Linked DNA regions of Ovis aries. The protein of the gene in region 2 purifies or fractionates together with the protein of the main gene of each other region. This does not show direct contact. Links are inferred from orthologs where the notes say so. Each region holds a gene or a part of one and is shown on either strand. Other genes may lie near its edges. The genes, in order: BTRC, ELAVL1, IGF2BP1 and TRIM21.

Evidence for each region.
Region 1: the proteins of ELAVL1 (region 2) and BTRC purify together in Homo sapiens (affinity purification with western blotting; 4 studies listed by BioGRID, with this or other methods). This does not show direct contact. The link is inferred for Ovis aries from reciprocal best matches to the Homo sapiens genes ELAVL1 and BTRC.
Region 3: the proteins of ELAVL1 (region 2) and IGF2BP1 purify together in Homo sapiens (co-immunoprecipitation; 3 studies listed by BioGRID and IntAct, with this or other methods). This does not show direct contact. The link is inferred for Ovis aries from reciprocal best matches to the Homo sapiens genes ELAVL1 and IGF2BP1.
Region 4: the proteins of ELAVL1 (region 2) and TRIM21 purify together in Homo sapiens (affinity purification with western blotting; 3 studies listed by BioGRID, with this or other methods). This does not show direct contact. The link is inferred for Ovis aries from reciprocal best matches to the Homo sapiens genes ELAVL1 and TRIM21.

The regions. Positions count from the first base shown.
Region 1 is NC_056075.1:22,074,358-22,078,105, reverse strand, and holds part of BTRC (F-box/WD repeat-containing protein 1A), read right to left. Parts: intron 2,070-3,748; coding exon 1,908-2,069; 3' UTR 1,877-1,907; intron 1-1,876. UniProt on the Homo sapiens protein: Substrate recognition component of a SCF (SKP1-CUL1-F-box protein) E3 ubiquitin-protein ligase complex which mediates the ubiquitination and subsequent proteasomal degradation of target proteins. Recognizes and binds to phosphorylated target proteins.
Region 2 is NC_056058.1:14,469,810-14,474,162, reverse strand, and holds the start of ELAVL1 (ELAV-like protein 1), read left to right. Parts: upstream 1-1,376; coding exon 1,377-1,548; intron 1,549-4,353. UniProt on the Homo sapiens protein: RNA-binding protein that binds to the 3'-UTR region of mRNAs and increases their stability.
Region 3 is NC_056064.1:37,261,592-37,265,339, reverse strand, and holds part of IGF2BP1 (insulin-like growth factor 2 mRNA-binding protein 1), read left to right. Parts: intron 1-323; coding exon 324-372; intron 373-898; coding exon 899-950; intron 951-3,748. UniProt on the Homo sapiens protein: RNA-binding factor that recruits target transcripts to cytoplasmic protein-RNA complexes (mRNPs). This transcript 'caging' into mRNPs allows mRNA transport and transient storage.
Region 4 is NC_056068.1:49,571,289-49,575,555, reverse strand, and holds the start of TRIM21 (E3 ubiquitin-protein ligase TRIM21), read right to left. Parts: upstream 2,943-4,267; 5' UTR 2,240-2,942; intron 2,203-2,239; exon of another isoform or gene 2,071-2,202; intron 1,575-2,070; 5' UTR 1,539-1,574; coding exon 1,131-1,538; intron 639-1,130; coding exon 543-638; intron 1-542. UniProt on the Homo sapiens protein: E3 ubiquitin-protein ligase whose activity is dependent on E2 enzymes, UBE2D1, UBE2D2, UBE2E1 and UBE2E2.

The DNA.
Region 1 (3,748 bases), on a different chromosome or scaffold from region 2:
GAGTCATTAGTCCCTTTTCCTGAATTTCTCACTTTCTCTAAGAGGAAAAGAATATTAAACTAGCTGTCAACTGGGAGAAAGGCTCAGAGGTCCTTCCTAATACCTGCTCTCTGTCCATGCCACACAGGAGTTTCTGTCAAAGGCTACAAGGCCTGTCTGGGGGCTCAGCAGGGCTCACTGACAGGCTCAGGACTCTAAGTGCTCATGCAGAGTGACTCTGATGTTTAGAGACTAACAGTGACTATGGTGGGTGTAGCACTGAGCTTCCACCTGCTTCCTATAATGGTAGAGCAGGTGAGGACAGCTCTGAGGTTCCGGCCTTAGTGGCCATGAATGCAGTATGCCACTAAAAAAAAAGTGGGGGAGAAGGGTGAAGCTCTCTGGCTGCTTGGCTGGAGGGCACTGGTAGTGTAGATGAGGGGAGAGCCTGAGTGTTAGATGTGTGCCCCAGAAGCGCCCCTGGTACCGTCAAGGACAGGTGTGTAGGTAGTGACTGGAAATGTGGCCTAGAGATTAAGGCAGAGGTTGGGACTAAACATACAAATTGGAGATGAGAGCTGAAGCTTTGGGGAGAGATAAGGGAGCCAAAGAAAGGAACTCAGGTAAGGAAGAAAAGCCTGAGACAGACTCTTAGGGGATGTCTAAGTTTCAGGAGTGAGACAAAGGAGGAAATGTAAACAATCAGAGAGCCAAAATGCCACTGAAATCTGAGGAGGATAATATTTTGGCAAAAGGAAGGGATACCTATATGACAATTTCAATATTGCTACTAATTAATGGTTACTTTTTTTATTGAGAATCTGTTATGTGCTAGGCACTGTGCTAAGCACTAAGGTTTCTACGCATAACATTTGATTCTCACAACAGCTCTGCATGGTAGGTATTACAATTCTCAAGGAAACTAAGGCTCGGGGAAGCTGTTTGCCCAAGGGCACATGGCTAGCCTCTGTGCCTTGGCTGAGAAAGCGGCCACATCCTCTGTGAGAGAAGTGAGTACTGAATGAAGCAAGGCTTAAAACACTCTGTTCAGAAGAACCACTGCAGAAAGATATGCAGAAGAGTGTACTGAATGTGTGCTTCTGCCACAAGAACAGAGGCAAGTATAGGAAATGAGAAATCACAATAACGGCAATATTTCCCAGTAGCTAGTACAGTTTTCCCAAACCAGTGATGACCTATATCTGACCTGCTCAGGACCATCAGGTATGATCTGAGGGTCCCAGGGATATAGGTTAAGATGAACATTAGGATCTTCTTCTGCCCCAGAGACAGGACAGAGACTTGAGTGGGAGAATATCGGAATTCTCACCAACTCCAGAGCTACTTCCAAGGTCAAAAAACAGTTGGAGGGGGCAGGGAATGCAGATAAGGGGGATGGAGAAAAGCCACCTTTTATAATCAAATGACACTGACAAGAGCTATGAGAAGGCAGCCTTGTGTGCTATTTTGCCAAGGGATTCTTTTCTTTCCAACATCAGATTATCTACTTGGGTTAAAGGGTCTCCACTGTAGGTACTAGAGTAATCTGGGAATTACAAAGCCATAGGCTTTGGGGTCAATACTCTTAGTTTTGAAACTGATTTAAATCTCATTTTATTTCCTTAACAATGCGACTAGATGACTGAGGCAGGAATATTAGTTCTACTACACTTGGATCATCGAGGTCTAGCTCAAGAATTATCTAAGGACCGAAGCTGGTTACCTCAATCAAGGGCAGCATCCGGTGTGCAGCCCAGCCCTGTCTCGTGGTGTCAGTTTCTGTATTATAGGACTTGGAGTTAGAAAGGGCATGAGAAGGCTCCATGAACTCACAATACCTTACAGCCAGTGTTCCACTGCTTACCCTCAGTGCTATGTACACAATTCTTTTTCATACCTGGGCGAGTCTGAGGTCAGTGTATGAGTATTTATCTGGAGATATAGGTGTATGTTCGAGAAGGGGAGCGGGGGGGCTCAGCTTGGGCAGCTGGATCATTTAGGAAGTCCCAGATGAGGATTGTGTCATCATGTGAACTACTGACAATCTGGAATTCATCAAACTGGAGTCGGAAAACTCTTCCAGAATGCTCCTAAAGAAGCAGAAACAGAACTTTTGAACTATTCAAAATAAAAAAAAAAAAAACACAAATTCAGCAACATGTCAAAAGGAGTCTATAGAAAGGCTAAAGCTGATAGTCTTCTTGACCATTTCAAGAATACAAATAAAAATCTTAATCTGGATTAAAGGCAGGATATAAAAGTCAAATATTGGGTAGCTGATTTCATATATAGTCAAAGTAATATTCACTGGAGCTGACACATGTCAAACAGTACACAAGTTTCTCATTGCTAACTCTCCTAGACTTTAGCCTCAATGAGAACATTCCTCAGTACCTCTCAGGCTTCATCCTCTTCTCTGTATCTCTAGGATTCTATTACAATCATAGGCCAAGGGCTGATGAGCAATAAGCAGTACTGTGTTGGTATGTATTTATCAATTAACTATCCCCAATTTGTAAAAGCATTTCCACATTTTACAGTCTAAAAATTTCTATCCTAGCTAATTTCAAGCTAGCTATCTTGAGTTCAACCAGCTTGCAGAATTCATGAAAATCTAACAACTGGCTCTAAGAAGCAGGTATAAACCTGTTTCACTTAGAATAATGTCAAGTTTCATCTATGTTGTAGCGTATGACAGCATTTCCTTTCTTTTAAGGCTGGATAATATTCTATTCTATTCTCTCTCTCTCTCTCTCTGTGTACATACACACACACACACACACACACACACACACACACACAGAGGAACTGGGCTTCCCTGGTGGCTCAAATGGTAAAGAATCTGCCTGCAATGCAAGAGACCCAGGTTCGACCCCTGGGTTGGGAAGATCCCCTGGAGAAGGGAATGGCTACCCACTCCAGTGTTCCTGCCTGGAAAAGCCCATGGACAAAGGAGCCTGGTGGGCTATATAGTCCATGGGTTCACAAAGAGTTGGACACAGCTGAGCGACTAAGCATACATACTGTTTTCCATGGAGGCTGCACTATTTCACATTCTTTACAAGATGTAAATAAGCTCATGAGATACATGATCATCTGTGTTCATAAGACATATTGGTAGACATATCTGTAGTTTTCTTTGTTTGGTTTCAGGATTAGGGTAATGCCAGCCTCACATAATTAGGTAGGAAATATTCACACTGCTTTTATCTTTTGGAGGAAAGGATAGAGCATTGGTATAATTTCTTCCTTAAACATTTGGTAGAATTCATCAGTGAGCCCATATGGGCTTGGTGCTTTCTGTTTTGGACAGTTATTATTTATTCTATTTCTTTAATAAGGCTAGGTCTATCCAGAATGATTATTTCTTCCTAAGTTGTGGAATATTGTATTTTTCAAGGGATTGGTCCATTTCATCTGGATTATCAGTTTGGAAGGCACAGAATTGTTCATAGCATTCCTTTATTATAATCCTTTTAATGTCTATGGGATCTGTAGTGATACAAAGTTTAATATTCAAAACTCAATATATTCAAAAACATAACAATTAACAGAATACAGGTGAAAACCACACTGACCAACTTGACAGACGCACATAAGAGCATTTAACTAAACCCTGCTGCTGCTGCTGCTAAGTCGCTTCTGTCGTGTCTGACTCTGTGCGACCCCATAGACGGCAGCCCACCAGGCTCCGCCATCCCTGGGATTCTCCAGGCAAGAACACTGGACTGGGTGCCATTTCCTTCTCCAATGCATGAGTGTGAAAAGT
Region 2 (4,353 bases):
CAAAGGTCCCCTAACTGGCAGAGAACTCGTAACCTCTTTCCTAGCTCAGTCACTCTGTCTTGGGAGGAAAGCAGTGCAGAGGCCCTCTGCCTGCTGGCTGGAGGACAGACAAGGTGTCTGGGTGGGCTGCCCCGGCGCTCGTCGCAGCCTCCTCCGTGTGCCGCTGCACCAGTGGTGCACATGGAGACTGGACAAAGCAATCAGGATCCTTAGAGTGTTCTCAGGACACCCCAGACACTTCCCAGAGGCTCCAGTCATGGTACTGGAACTGTTTGTGGGCTTGCTTCTTTAAAGCCCTCTTATTAAGTGCAAATGGTTAAACTTGGACTAGTTCTGGTTTTGTTTCAGTAGACTTTATTTTTAGAGCAGTTTTAGGTTCACAGAAAGATTGTGAAGAGAGTCCAGAGTAAATTTCCCTATACCCTTCCGCAGGCACAGTTTCCCTCCTCTATTACTAAATCTTGCCTTAGTGTGGTATTTTGTTGTAATAGATGAACCCATGTTGTTACCTAACTAAAGCCCAGGGTTTGCCTTAGAGTTCACTCTTAAAAAACTTCTGGATTTGTTTCTTTTTGGTTGTGCTGCATGTGGACTTTCTCTAGCTGCAGTGAACAGGGGCTACTCTTCATTGCAGTGCATGGGCTTCTCATTGCAGTGGCTCCTCTTGTTGCAGAGAACAGGCTCTAGGCCCACGGGCTCCAGTGGTTGCAGCTCCTGGGCTCTAGAGCACGGGCTCAGTAGTTGTGGTGCACAGGCTTAGCTGCTCCACAGCGTGTGGGGTCTTCCTGGACTAGGGACCAAACCCATGTCCCCTGCATTGGCAGGCAGATTCTTATCCACAGTGCCACCGGAGAAGCCCTAGACTTTACTCTTCACTTTTATACCCTCATACAGAGGAGCGGCGCTACCCTAAAAACCCCGGTGCCCTACCTGTTCGTTCCCCTTTCCCCGAAACTCCTGATCTTGCAATCTCTCTAGTTTTGCCTTTTCCACAATGTCACATACTGGAGACCCTCTATTTTCAGCAGTGTGCATGTAAGGCTCCTCTGTGTCTTTGTGGCTTCCTGGCTCCTGTCTTGTTGGCACTGAAGAACCTTCCATTGTGTGTGTGTTACCAGATGACTGGTATGTGTTTCTCCATTCGCCCACTGAAGGGCATCTTGGCTGCCTCCAGTCTGGGGGTGGTTACGAATAAAGCTGCTATAAACATCCACGTGCGGGTTTCTGCGTGGACATAAGTTGAACTCATAGCATTGAAAAGAAAAATGTCTTAAGTACAAACATAGTCATGAGCGTTGCTTTGATATCCTGCAGTGGGAACGTTTGGAATTTACTTCATTTTTTCTTCCCCTGCAGATTTTTTTTTTTTTAATACAATGTCTAATGGTTATGAAGACCACATGGCCGAAGACTGCAGGGACGACATCGGGAGAACAAATCTGATTGTCAACTACCTCCCTCAGAACATGACCCAGGATGAGCTACGAAGTCTGTTCAGCAGTATTGGTGAAGTGGAATCTGCAAAACTTATTCGGGATAAAGTGGCAGGTAAAGAAACAGAGCCATTTTTGTATGTGTTGGGCGTGGGGGATGGTATGTGGGGCCATCCCACCACGCCCTGTTTCTTAGCCAGGAAGTTTCATTTTTATCTCAACTCTGTTTTGCTCCCGTCCTGGTGTAAGATTGGCTGTAGGTTCCCAAAGGAGGAAAAATCCATCCTGAGATGGAGAATATGTACAAAACAAGACAGTGGGAGGGGAGGGAAGATGAGGAGACAGGAAGGAGAAATGGGGATGCTGTGAGAGCTGGAACAGGCACGGTCCCAGCTGTAGAGGGACCCTAGCCAGTGTCCTGCCAGGGGCAGGCCCAGCGTGTCTTCTCAGGCGGTGCATGCCAGGTCACACCTGCGGCAGAGTGCTGAGTCAGTCCCCTGTGGGCAGCCCTTCGCTGGCTTTGGGCCACCCTGACTCTGTTCTCATGCTATCAACTTGAACATCTGAAACTGAGCTTGAACTCTCACGGGGGCTGGAGCAGGGGAGCAGAGGATCATGGGTGGGCCGTGGATTTGGCAGGCAGGCAGGCGCAAAGCTCCACCCTCCTACAGCGCCTCAGTGTCCCCATCCACGAAGTGGAGGTGGTGGCTCCTGCCTTCCTCATGATGCTGTCTACCGCCTAAGGGTTTGCAGAAGGCCAGTACCTGGTAAGGCCCTCTGTAAGGAGGCCTCTGTTCTGCGAGCGAGGTTGCAAGGGTTCTAGAGAGAAATGTGAAGAGACATGGGGCTGTGAAGCACTTCCTTTCTTTCCTCCCCAGGGAGGTACATCTTAGGGAGCCCTCCTTTACCTCCCACTCCCCCTCCTCCTTCCTCCTCCTCCTCGTCTCTGCCCAGCTCTTCTGACGAATGGCCAGTCCTCTCGGCAGTGCTCTGGCTCCCACCCTGGCTTGTAAGATCTTGATTCCCTACACTGAAAAATAATTTCAAAGTCAAAAGTCATATTTATTATGGAAATATATTGGGTTGGCCAAAGAGTTCGTTCGGGCTTCTCTATAGCATCTTATGGAAAAACCCGAACTTTTTGGCCAACTCAAGATTTAAGTTTACATTAGAGTAATTCTGTTGAACCCCATGTACCCATTGTCCTGTTTCATCAACTCACAGCATTTGCCAGTGACTCTAAGATGCCTGTCCCCAAGGTGAGTCCCGCTGACCCCAGGGCTTTGTTTTGTTTTTATTTGATTGTTTATTTGGCTGCACTGGGTCTTAGTTGCAGCATGTGAGATCTCAGTTCCCTGACCAGGGGTTGAATCCGGGCCCCTTGCACTGGGAGCTCGGAGTCTCAGCCACTGGATCAGCAGGGAAGTCCCAGAGAGAGGACTTTGAGCTCAAAGTCCTTTAATGACCCTCTCAATTCTGAGAGTGTGCAATTTATTACATGTCTTCAAAATAGGGGCTTTAGATATACACAAAATTGAACAGTGTTGGAATGTTCTAGAAATTCCTCTCTCTCTCCAGTTCCAGAAGACCATCCTTAATAAGAATCCTTGTTCAGAGAGGTTTTTAAATTCTTCTGCGCTGCTGCTGAGTCTTGCCTTTCTCCTGTTGTGTTCTGGCAGAAGGAAATTTTCAGTCCCTGCAATATTCCTGATTCCTCTATCTCTTGGCTTGTTGTGTTTTTCAAAGGCATTAGAGCTATGTTGGAGAAGGCAATGGCACCCAACTCCGGTACTCTTGCCTGGAGAATCCCATGGACAGTGGAGCCTGATGGGCTGCTGTCCATGGGGTCGCTAAGAGTCGGATACGACTGAGCGACTTTACTTTCACTTTTCACTGTCATGCATTGGAGAAGGAAATGGCAACCCACTCCAGTGTTCTTGCCTGGAGAATCCCAGGGACCGCGGAGCCTGGTGGGCTGCCGTCTATGGGGTCGCACAGAGTCAGACGCGACTGAAGCGACTTCACAACAGCGGTAGAGCTATGTTAATAGGAACACCTGGATTTGGCGACATGAGTCTGGAGAGAACTGGTTTTAAGAACCAGTGAAATCAGCACAGGCATGATTTGAAAATTATTTCAGTTCAGAAGTAAAGATCTTCTGCTCTCTGGGCAAGTTTGAATGTAATGCGTTGGGAGTCGTAGAGTAGATGAGCCTGGGTTGACATTTCAGCTCTGCATCTCACATCTTGTAGTTCTTTATTTAAAAAAAAAAAACAACCATATATATATACACACACACACACACACACACACACACACACACACACACATTTATTTATTCATTATTTGGTTGCTCCAGATCTCAGTTGCAGCATGTGGGATCTAGTTCCCTGATCAGGGATCGAACCTGGGCTCACTGCATTAGGAGCACAGAGTCTTAGCCCCTGGACCAGGGAAGTCCCTGCTGCTGCTAATGTTCAGTCGCTCAGTCATGTCGACTCTGCGACCCCATGGACTGTATCCGCCAGGCTCCTCTGACCATGGGATTCTTCAGGCAAGAATATTCGAGTGGGTTGCCATTTCCTTCTTCAGGGGATCTTACCGACCCAGGGACTGAATCTGAGTCTCCTGCATTGGCAGGCAGATTCTTTACTGCTGAGCCACCTGGGAAACTGCAGTCCTTGATAGTAGTTCTTTAAATTGAATGAACTTAATTTTATGGAAAACTTACCTCATTCACTTTTCTTCTCTTGCCACCAGTGTTTGATAATTTCTTCAAGGCTGGTTCTGGGGCCAGGGCCTCACATCTCACTTCTTGTCCTTTAGTACATTCCTCTGGTGAAGCCCTGGACATGGTTACCTTTCTCAGTCTGCTTTCTCTCATCCTGGCTCAGGTACCCACCCCAGCGAGACTCTTGCA
Region 3 (3,748 bases), on a different chromosome or scaffold from region 2:
GGTGGGTGGTAACGGATGGTTACTGAGTAAGATATAACTAGTGAGGAACCTAAGAGAGATGAACAAAGCAGGTATGACTGGGGGGAATTAGTTATCCTAGCGCTTAGGGCACCTGGTTTTGGCTTTCCTAGCTGTGGGCGAACTGTATTTCGCTCTCTAAAGAGGCCAGGTTTCCATTCCCAAAGGTTATCATTCTTAGACTCTTAAGGCTTTGGTGTTGAATAGAAGGTAGGAAGATAGACTGGAACGAGGACTAAAACCTACAAGGTCACAGGCCCCTAAAGTATCCAGAGCTGTCACTGATGTTTTCTCTCTGATTTCAGGAGTCGAAAAATACAGATCCGAAATATTCCACCCCAGCTTCGATGGGAAGTAAGTGATTAGGGGAAACTGTTAGTGGGGTCGTGGAGACTGGGAGGGAAGTCTTGGTTAGCCTGAGGTGGCAGAGATGACTGGGAGGTGTCCTGGGGGCTTGGTTCTAGGCCAGAGGTTCTGAGGGAGGGGGTGGCGGGGTGGACAGTTGGATTGCATCCTCAGCCTAAGACTTCCAGCATGAGTTCTTGGGCATTCCCTCTGGTGAGAGGCATCAGGGAGGTGGGAGGGGTATTCCTGAACCCCAAGCTTAGAGATGACAGAGGACCGGCTGGAGACCCAGGTGCTGCAGGTCTGCTTCCCCAAAGGACCTTAAGTTCCTTTTTGAGCTCAAGTACATTCTGTGAAGAAATTCTGATGGATTACCACCAGCATTAGTACCTGAGAAAGGGCAAACCAAGCAGGTAACATGTTCAGTCCCCACCAAAGGCTTTCCCAGTGCCTTGGGGTGAGGGGTGTGCGCAGTGATGACTTGGTGAGTTCCTGGGGTACTCAGGTTAGCCGTACTCCCTTCCCCTGCTCTCAGGTACTGGACAGCTTGCTGGCTCAGTATGGTACAGTGGAGAACTGCGAGCAAGGTAAGAGTGGATAGAGGCGGCGGTAGTGGGGTAGGGGTAGATGGCTGTTGGAGGAGTTGTGGGGGGCGGATGGGCGGAAATCTGCTCTGCTTCCTTTTCTGGTGCCACATCTCTCTGGAACACCAAACAAAGACAGCCAGAGGGTACCGTGGAGGGAGGTAGAGTGGAGTGTCCCAGCGCTGGCTCTGCTACTTCTCTGGAACTGGCTTCTCCTCTGATTAATAAGAGAATCAACAAAACCACTCATTCCCAGCATGGAGTCTGCATGAGCCAGCCAAGGTAGAAACAGGTTCCCAAGATTTTAGAAATAGGTTAAGAATGCAAGCTGTGCGCAAAGTAAATCTGTAGCCCTTTTATTTTAAAAGCTTCGTGACTCTTGGTTTTTGTCTGAAATAATCAACAGGTTGTCTTTTTTGGGTGGGGGTGGGCGGAGGGGATAGAAACTGATTGTCAGCTACATGTCTTTGGTTAATTAAAAAAAAAAAAGCAGAAAACTTTTGCACATATTGATGGGCAGGCAAAATGTTTCTCAAGTCTGGGCCCATGGGAACTTCCCTGCTGGTCTAGTGGCTAAGACTCCATCTCCCAATGCAGGGGGCTTGGGTTTGATCCCTAGTCAGGGAACTAGATCCCACATACCACAGCTAAGACCTGGCGCAGCCAAGAAAAAACAGTAGGCCCACAGTTCAGTTCAGTCACTCAGTCATGTCCGACTCTTTGCAACCTCATGAACTGCAGTACGCCAGGCTTCCCTGTCCATCACCAACTCCTGGAGTTTATCCAGACTCATGTCCATTGAGTTGGTGATGCCATCCAACCATCTCATCCTCTGTCATCCCCTCCTCCTCCTGCCTTCAATTTTTCCCAACATCAAGGTCTTTTCAAATGAGTCAGCTCTTTGCAGCAGGTGGCCAAAATATTGGAGTTTCAGCTTCAATATCAGTCCTTCCAATGAACACCCAGGACTGATTACCTTTAGGATAGACTGGTTGGATCTCCTTGCAGAAGGAGAAATAATAGAAGGGAATTCTAGATCATAAAACGTTTGCTATGATTTTTGAAGTTTCTCCAAAAACTTAAGTTCTTCTCAAATTGCTTAGGATTATATATTATTTTCAGAGGATATGAGCTAAAATAAAATTTGGAGGACTTCCCTGGTGGTCCAGTGGTTAGAAGTCTACCTGCCAATGCAGGGAATGTGGGTTTCATCTGGTCTGGGAAGAGGGAAGATTCCACATGCCATGGGGCATGGTACAACAAAGCTCCGGGTGCCACAACTCCTGAAGCTGGCTGTCTAGAGCCCTTGAGCTGCAGCTGCTGAAGCCCTTGCGCCTCTGGCCCACGCTCTGCAGCAAGAGGAGCCAGAGCAATGAGAAGCCCGCCTACTGTAATGGAGAGTAGTCCCTGCTCGATGCAACTAGAAAAAAGCCCATGTGCAGCAGTGAAGACCCAGCTCAGCCAAAAGCGAATGAGTGAATGAATGAAAATTTGAAGTGATTTGGCCTGGACATAAAGTAGAGCTTGGTCGTTAGGCAGACAAAATGGTTTGAGTTTGCAGATCTTTAAGAAACCTAGACAAGACAAAATATTCATCTCCAAATTCTAAAGGGCCAAGCTGTAAATCACATACTCGCCTGCACAAAGATCTGAGGTGCTGAATCAGTGGAACAGGTTCTCTTCTGCTCTGACCCTGGAGCTTGCTTTTACTGTAAGCACCAGGGCATAACTGGAAGCACTGATAGCCATTGCTCAGTCCTTGATATCCATTGTCCAGGCCTGCTTACATGTTAGACTGATGACTCAGTTACTCCTGGACAGACAGCAGTGGCTTGGGAGCACGTTGGAGAGCTTCACGAGGGGTGCCCGGCAGGGGTCACTGCTAGTTCAAAGGCTCACCAGAGAACCATAACACACCTAATCTGGGGGCGATGCCTGCTCCCTGGAAAAAACAGAATGGGAAGTGTTTGCTTTTGTAACAATAAACTCTTCATCTGCTCAAATGCAGCTTACTAAGCAATGCCCTTTCTGTCCACCCTATGTGAAATTATACCCCTAACCACCACTTCCTTTTCCCTGGTTTGTATTTCTCCATAGCACTCAACCCCTTCTACTTTTTTTCAGGGAGAACATGAATTTATTATTTTTTTTAATTGAAGTATTGTTGATTATAATATATTAGTTTCAATTACACACCATAGTGATTCAGCATTTTTTAAGATTCTACTCCATTGAATGTCATTACAAGATAATGTCTATAACTCCCTGTGCTGTGCAATATATTTTTGTCCTTTGACTGTTTCGTTTACTTATTTATTTATTGGCTTGTGGGATCTTAGTTCCCTGACCAGAGATCCAACCTTGGCAGTGAAAGCGCTGGGTCCCAGCCTCAGGATTGCCAGAGAGTTCCTATCATTTTACTTTATACATAGTAGTTTGTATCTGTCAGTCCATACCCCCATACCCTTGATGCCCCCCTCCTTTTTAGTAATCACTAGTTTCTCTTCTGTATCTGTGTTTCTGTTTTGCACGTATATTCATCTGTATTTTTTAGATTTCTCATGGGTGATATCACACAGTATTTGTCTGTCTTTGACATTTCACTAAGCGTAATATGCTCTTGGTCCATCCACATCTCTGAAAATGGCAAGATTTAATACTTTTTTTATGGTTGAGTAATAGTCCATTATCATACCATCTTTTCACCATCTTTGCTTATTATATTTTTTGCTTTCTCTTCTTACTAGTATGTTTAAGCTCCACGAGAGCAGAGGTTTTGTTTGTTTGATTCACTCCTGTAT
Region 4 (4,267 bases), on a different chromosome or scaffold from region 2:
TAGCCCGCCAGGCTCCTTTGTCCATGGGATTCTCCAGGCAAGAATACTGGAGTGGGTAGCCATTCCCTTCTTCAGGGGATCTTCCCAATCCAGGGACTGAACCCAGGTCTCCAATACTGCAGGCAGATTCTTTACCATCTGAGCCACTAGGGAAGCCCATCTTAGGCCTTTATGGTTCACTTAAATCTGGTTCTCATAGTCACTGTCATTTCTTGACAACTTGTCATTTCTTGACATTGGGCATCTCTCCTGGCATTCCCCTGTCCCAAACTCTGAGGCCATCTCCAGAGACTGGGCTGTCATCTCCAGAGACTGGGCTCAAGAAGCAGGAGCATTAGAATATATCTTGTCCCTCAGCACCTTTTCCTAAGACTCTCTCTCCATCTGACTGGGAGCTCTTTTTGATCTCCACACTCTTTTAATCCCCTCCATCAAGAGACCTATGGGGCAGCTGGTTCTTGGGGAGTGAGATATAGGGACTGGCATAGCTGGACCCTCCCCAGGCTTCAGATCTAAGATTCCCTTCAGGATATGACTCTTGCCTTAAAGGATGCTTTCTTCATTGCAATGTCCAATTCCAGCTTCTCAGCCATCTCCTGCTTATCTCTTAGTTTCTTTAGTGCCACCTGAAGCTTTTCCTGCAGAGAACGAAAGCAAGATGATACCCAGTCAGGTCAAGAAGTAGGGTGCAGTGGTGTGAAGTGGGGGGAAGATCATACTGGTTCTTAGAAGAGGCTGAGTGCAGAGGACAAGGAAGGACTAGAGTCTGTTTGGGGTAGGAACTCTGTGGATGGGAAGGTTTTGGAAAAAGCCTGATATTTCTTACAAAATAGGGCCACACGGTTGGTGTACAAAGGGTGGGGGCACTGCTTGTTCCTAATTAAGCAGGAGGCCACAAGGGAAGAAGATTCTTGAAGCATTTTCCCATAGCACATCCCTGCTCTGTGAGAATGAGAAAACTGTGCTGAGCTTGCCATTTCCCCCTTAAATAAGACATAGAAGGCAGGAGACCCCTATTCTTTCCCCAGCCCCACAGGTAACTCTCTCCCATTTCCAGCTCTGGGGAACAAAGCCATCAACAGGGCCCCATCTCCTTTTTACCTGTTCCTGCCTCTGTGCTGAGGACTCACCTGGTACTCCTGAGCAGCCTCCTCAATAGGGACCATGGGATGATCACGGTGTTTCTGGGACTGGGAACACACCCAGCAAAGGGCCTTCCCATCTGCCTCACAGAAGAGGTGAATTTTCTCTCTGTGCACCACACACAGCTCCCCGTGTGGGCCCTCCTTGGCACCCTGGCTGATTTTCCTAAGGTTGTCCACCATGTTGGCTACCTGTCGATTGGGCCGGAGATTCTGGAGCAGGAAGTGGCGCCGGCACACAGGACAGACGCTACCTCCTTCTTTCCCGACCTCAGAGATGCACTCCTGGCAGAAGCTATGACCACATTCAATGCTCATAGGCTCCACCATGGGATCCAGGCAGATAGAGCACGTGACCTCCTCCCACATCATTGTCAAGGGTACGGCTGAAGCCATTGGGGTGATGCTCCTCTTCGGTAGTGCTGGGGAGATCTTGCGGTGAGGGGAGAAGAGGAAAGGGACGGAAGAGAAGAGCCAGGTAAGAAAAGGGAACCACGAGAGAGGGTGAACTGGAGGGAGTGAAAACAAGAAAAGACAAGGACCTCAACCTGAATAGTGCTCCTCTTCCATAGTCTGGGTCACTGATCCAGTCAGACAGAAGGGGACACTGAGTCCCCAAGAGATAGCAAATATTGTTGAGAACCTGAGAGACAGCTGCTTACAATTCGACTTTCATCATGTTCATCTCTGCTTAACCGCTCAGAGTCCAGGCTTTACCTATTGATCTTCTGCCTCAGGCCACTGGTTTTCTACTCTGTTGAGAAGCTAATCTTAACAGTAGCGACCATTGACTGTGCTCGTTCCATGTGCCAGGTGCTACATGCTTCACATACATTCTCATTAATCTTTGCAATAGGCAGGAGTTATTGGTATCTATCTAATCATCGGTAACATGAATATATATAAGAATATTTATATTTATGCTTACATATTTTCATAAGGATACACGTATATCCGTAAGTACATGGGCTTCCTAGGTGGTGCAAGTGGCAAAGAATCCACCTGCTAATGCAGGAGACACAGGAGACAGCAGGTTTGATCCCTGAGTTGGGAAGATCCCCTGGGGAAGGAAATGGCAACCCACTTCAGTATCTTACCTGGGAAATCCCGTGGACAGAGGAGCCTGGCGGCCTACATACAGTCCATGGGGTCGCAAAGAGTCAGACACGACTGAGCACACACACACACGCATATGTATATGTGTGTATATATGTATGTGCATACACACAGAAGCGTGAGGTTTATTAAGAACTTCCTGGGCTCTTCTCTCAGCTACCCTGAACCTGGCCCCGCCTTTGTTTCTTCTAGGGCGCAGACCCATAGTTTTCTAATATCCTAAGCAACCCTGTCTCTCTCACCTCCAGAGGGAGCCTTTTGGGGACAGCAGTCTCAGGGATCGCGGACCTACCCCCACACCGGGCTCCCGGACCACCCCTGAGCTAGGTTGCCATCCTGGTTCTCCCAGTTTCCCTGGTTTTTCTTCCCAGCTCAGGTGCCGGCGGAAGCAGAGCAATCCGAGCTCCTTCCAGGGGACATCCCAGTCAGGTTTACAGCCCAGCCTCCTCCCAGGCTGCAGGGGAAAAACTGCTGGGTTAAGGTTGAGGGAGACCTGTTGCGAAAGAAAACCTGAGATCGAAATCTCTAGGGGTGGGGACGGCTTGGATGAGGCACTTCAGACCTGGGGCAGGGGAGAGAGGTCCCCTAGGGAGAGCTGGGGTACCTCGGTCTAGCCAAGTTCACTCACCTTTTCAAGAGACGCAGTGGATGGCAGCCGTTTCCTTATTTCACTTTCGATTCCTTGTCCACCGCAAATCTGAAAGGGAGGCGGGCAGAGCGGGAGGAGAGTGGGCGGGGCCAAGGGAGGAGGAAGGCGGAGGGGTTGAGGTGCCGCCAGAGTCTGGAGCTTCTGGGAGGCTGGGGCGAGCGAAAGCTCCGCAGCCTTTAGTCCTTGCTTTGCGTTCCCTCCCGTGTCCTCATTGTGTAATAGAGTGAAGCATCGTATCTGCTGCGTGGAGGAGCCATGCAGGCCTACGTGCTGTGCCCTCGTGTGGGAGCTGCTTTAAAGGAGGTTTGGATGGACAGGGGTGCCTGGAGGTCTCCTCTAAAGGCCATCTTCTGTTCCCTATTTCCAAAAACAATTCCTTTTCAGGAGACTTGATATTCTTTTAACATCAGGGGGAGAGCAATTTATTCCACAGTACCTCAGCGCATTATCACACCAGTGAGTGGTAAGAAGGGACTTGACATTTATTGAGGCAACAACTGTGTACTTATCCTTGAGCCAGGGACTTTCTCAGGTTGTTTTATTATTATTTTAAATTATGGTGAAGTACGTATAACATTTACCATCTTAACCGTTTTCAAGTGTGTAGTTCAGTGGCATTAAATACGTTCACAGTTGTATACTTCACCACAGTCCATGGAGTCTCAAAGGGTCGGACACAACTGAGCCACTAAGCACAAGAACGGAGAAGGCAAGGGCACCCCACTCCAGGACTCTTGCCTGGAAAATACGAGGGACAGAGGAATCTGGAAGGCTGCAGTCCATGGGGTCGCTGAGGGTCGGACACGACTGAGCGACTTCTTTCACTTTTCACTTTCATGCATCAGAGAAGGAAATGGCAACCCACTCCAGTGTTCTTGCCAGGAGAATCCCAGGGGCAGCTTGATGGGCTGCTGTCTATGGGGTCGCACAGAGTCGGACACGAGTGAAGCGACTTAGCAGCAGCAGCAGCAGCAGCAAGCACAAGAAACCTCAAAGAGCCAGGGAGTAGTGGCAAATTCCTATTTATAAGAATCAGAGTTTTTACTCTGGTGGAAGAACTTCTTTCTTTACTAGACCCTTAGAACAAGGCTGAGCCCTGTGTTGGGGGATGGAAAGAAAATGATCTGTAAATGAGTTACTAGTTTGAGGGAAATAGGAGCTGCAACCACCTCCCTTCTTTATTCTCTGAAGAGTGTGTTTATAATGGCTATAAAAAATACCATCACCTATTAGTTGTTGATCTTAGATGTGCACCAGAATTTATGGTACAACATTCTTATATCATAGAGTGGGGTTTCCAAACTGCTGCCATACCTGAGCCTTCAGCAGTGCATCTCATATTTTTATTGGACCATCTTTT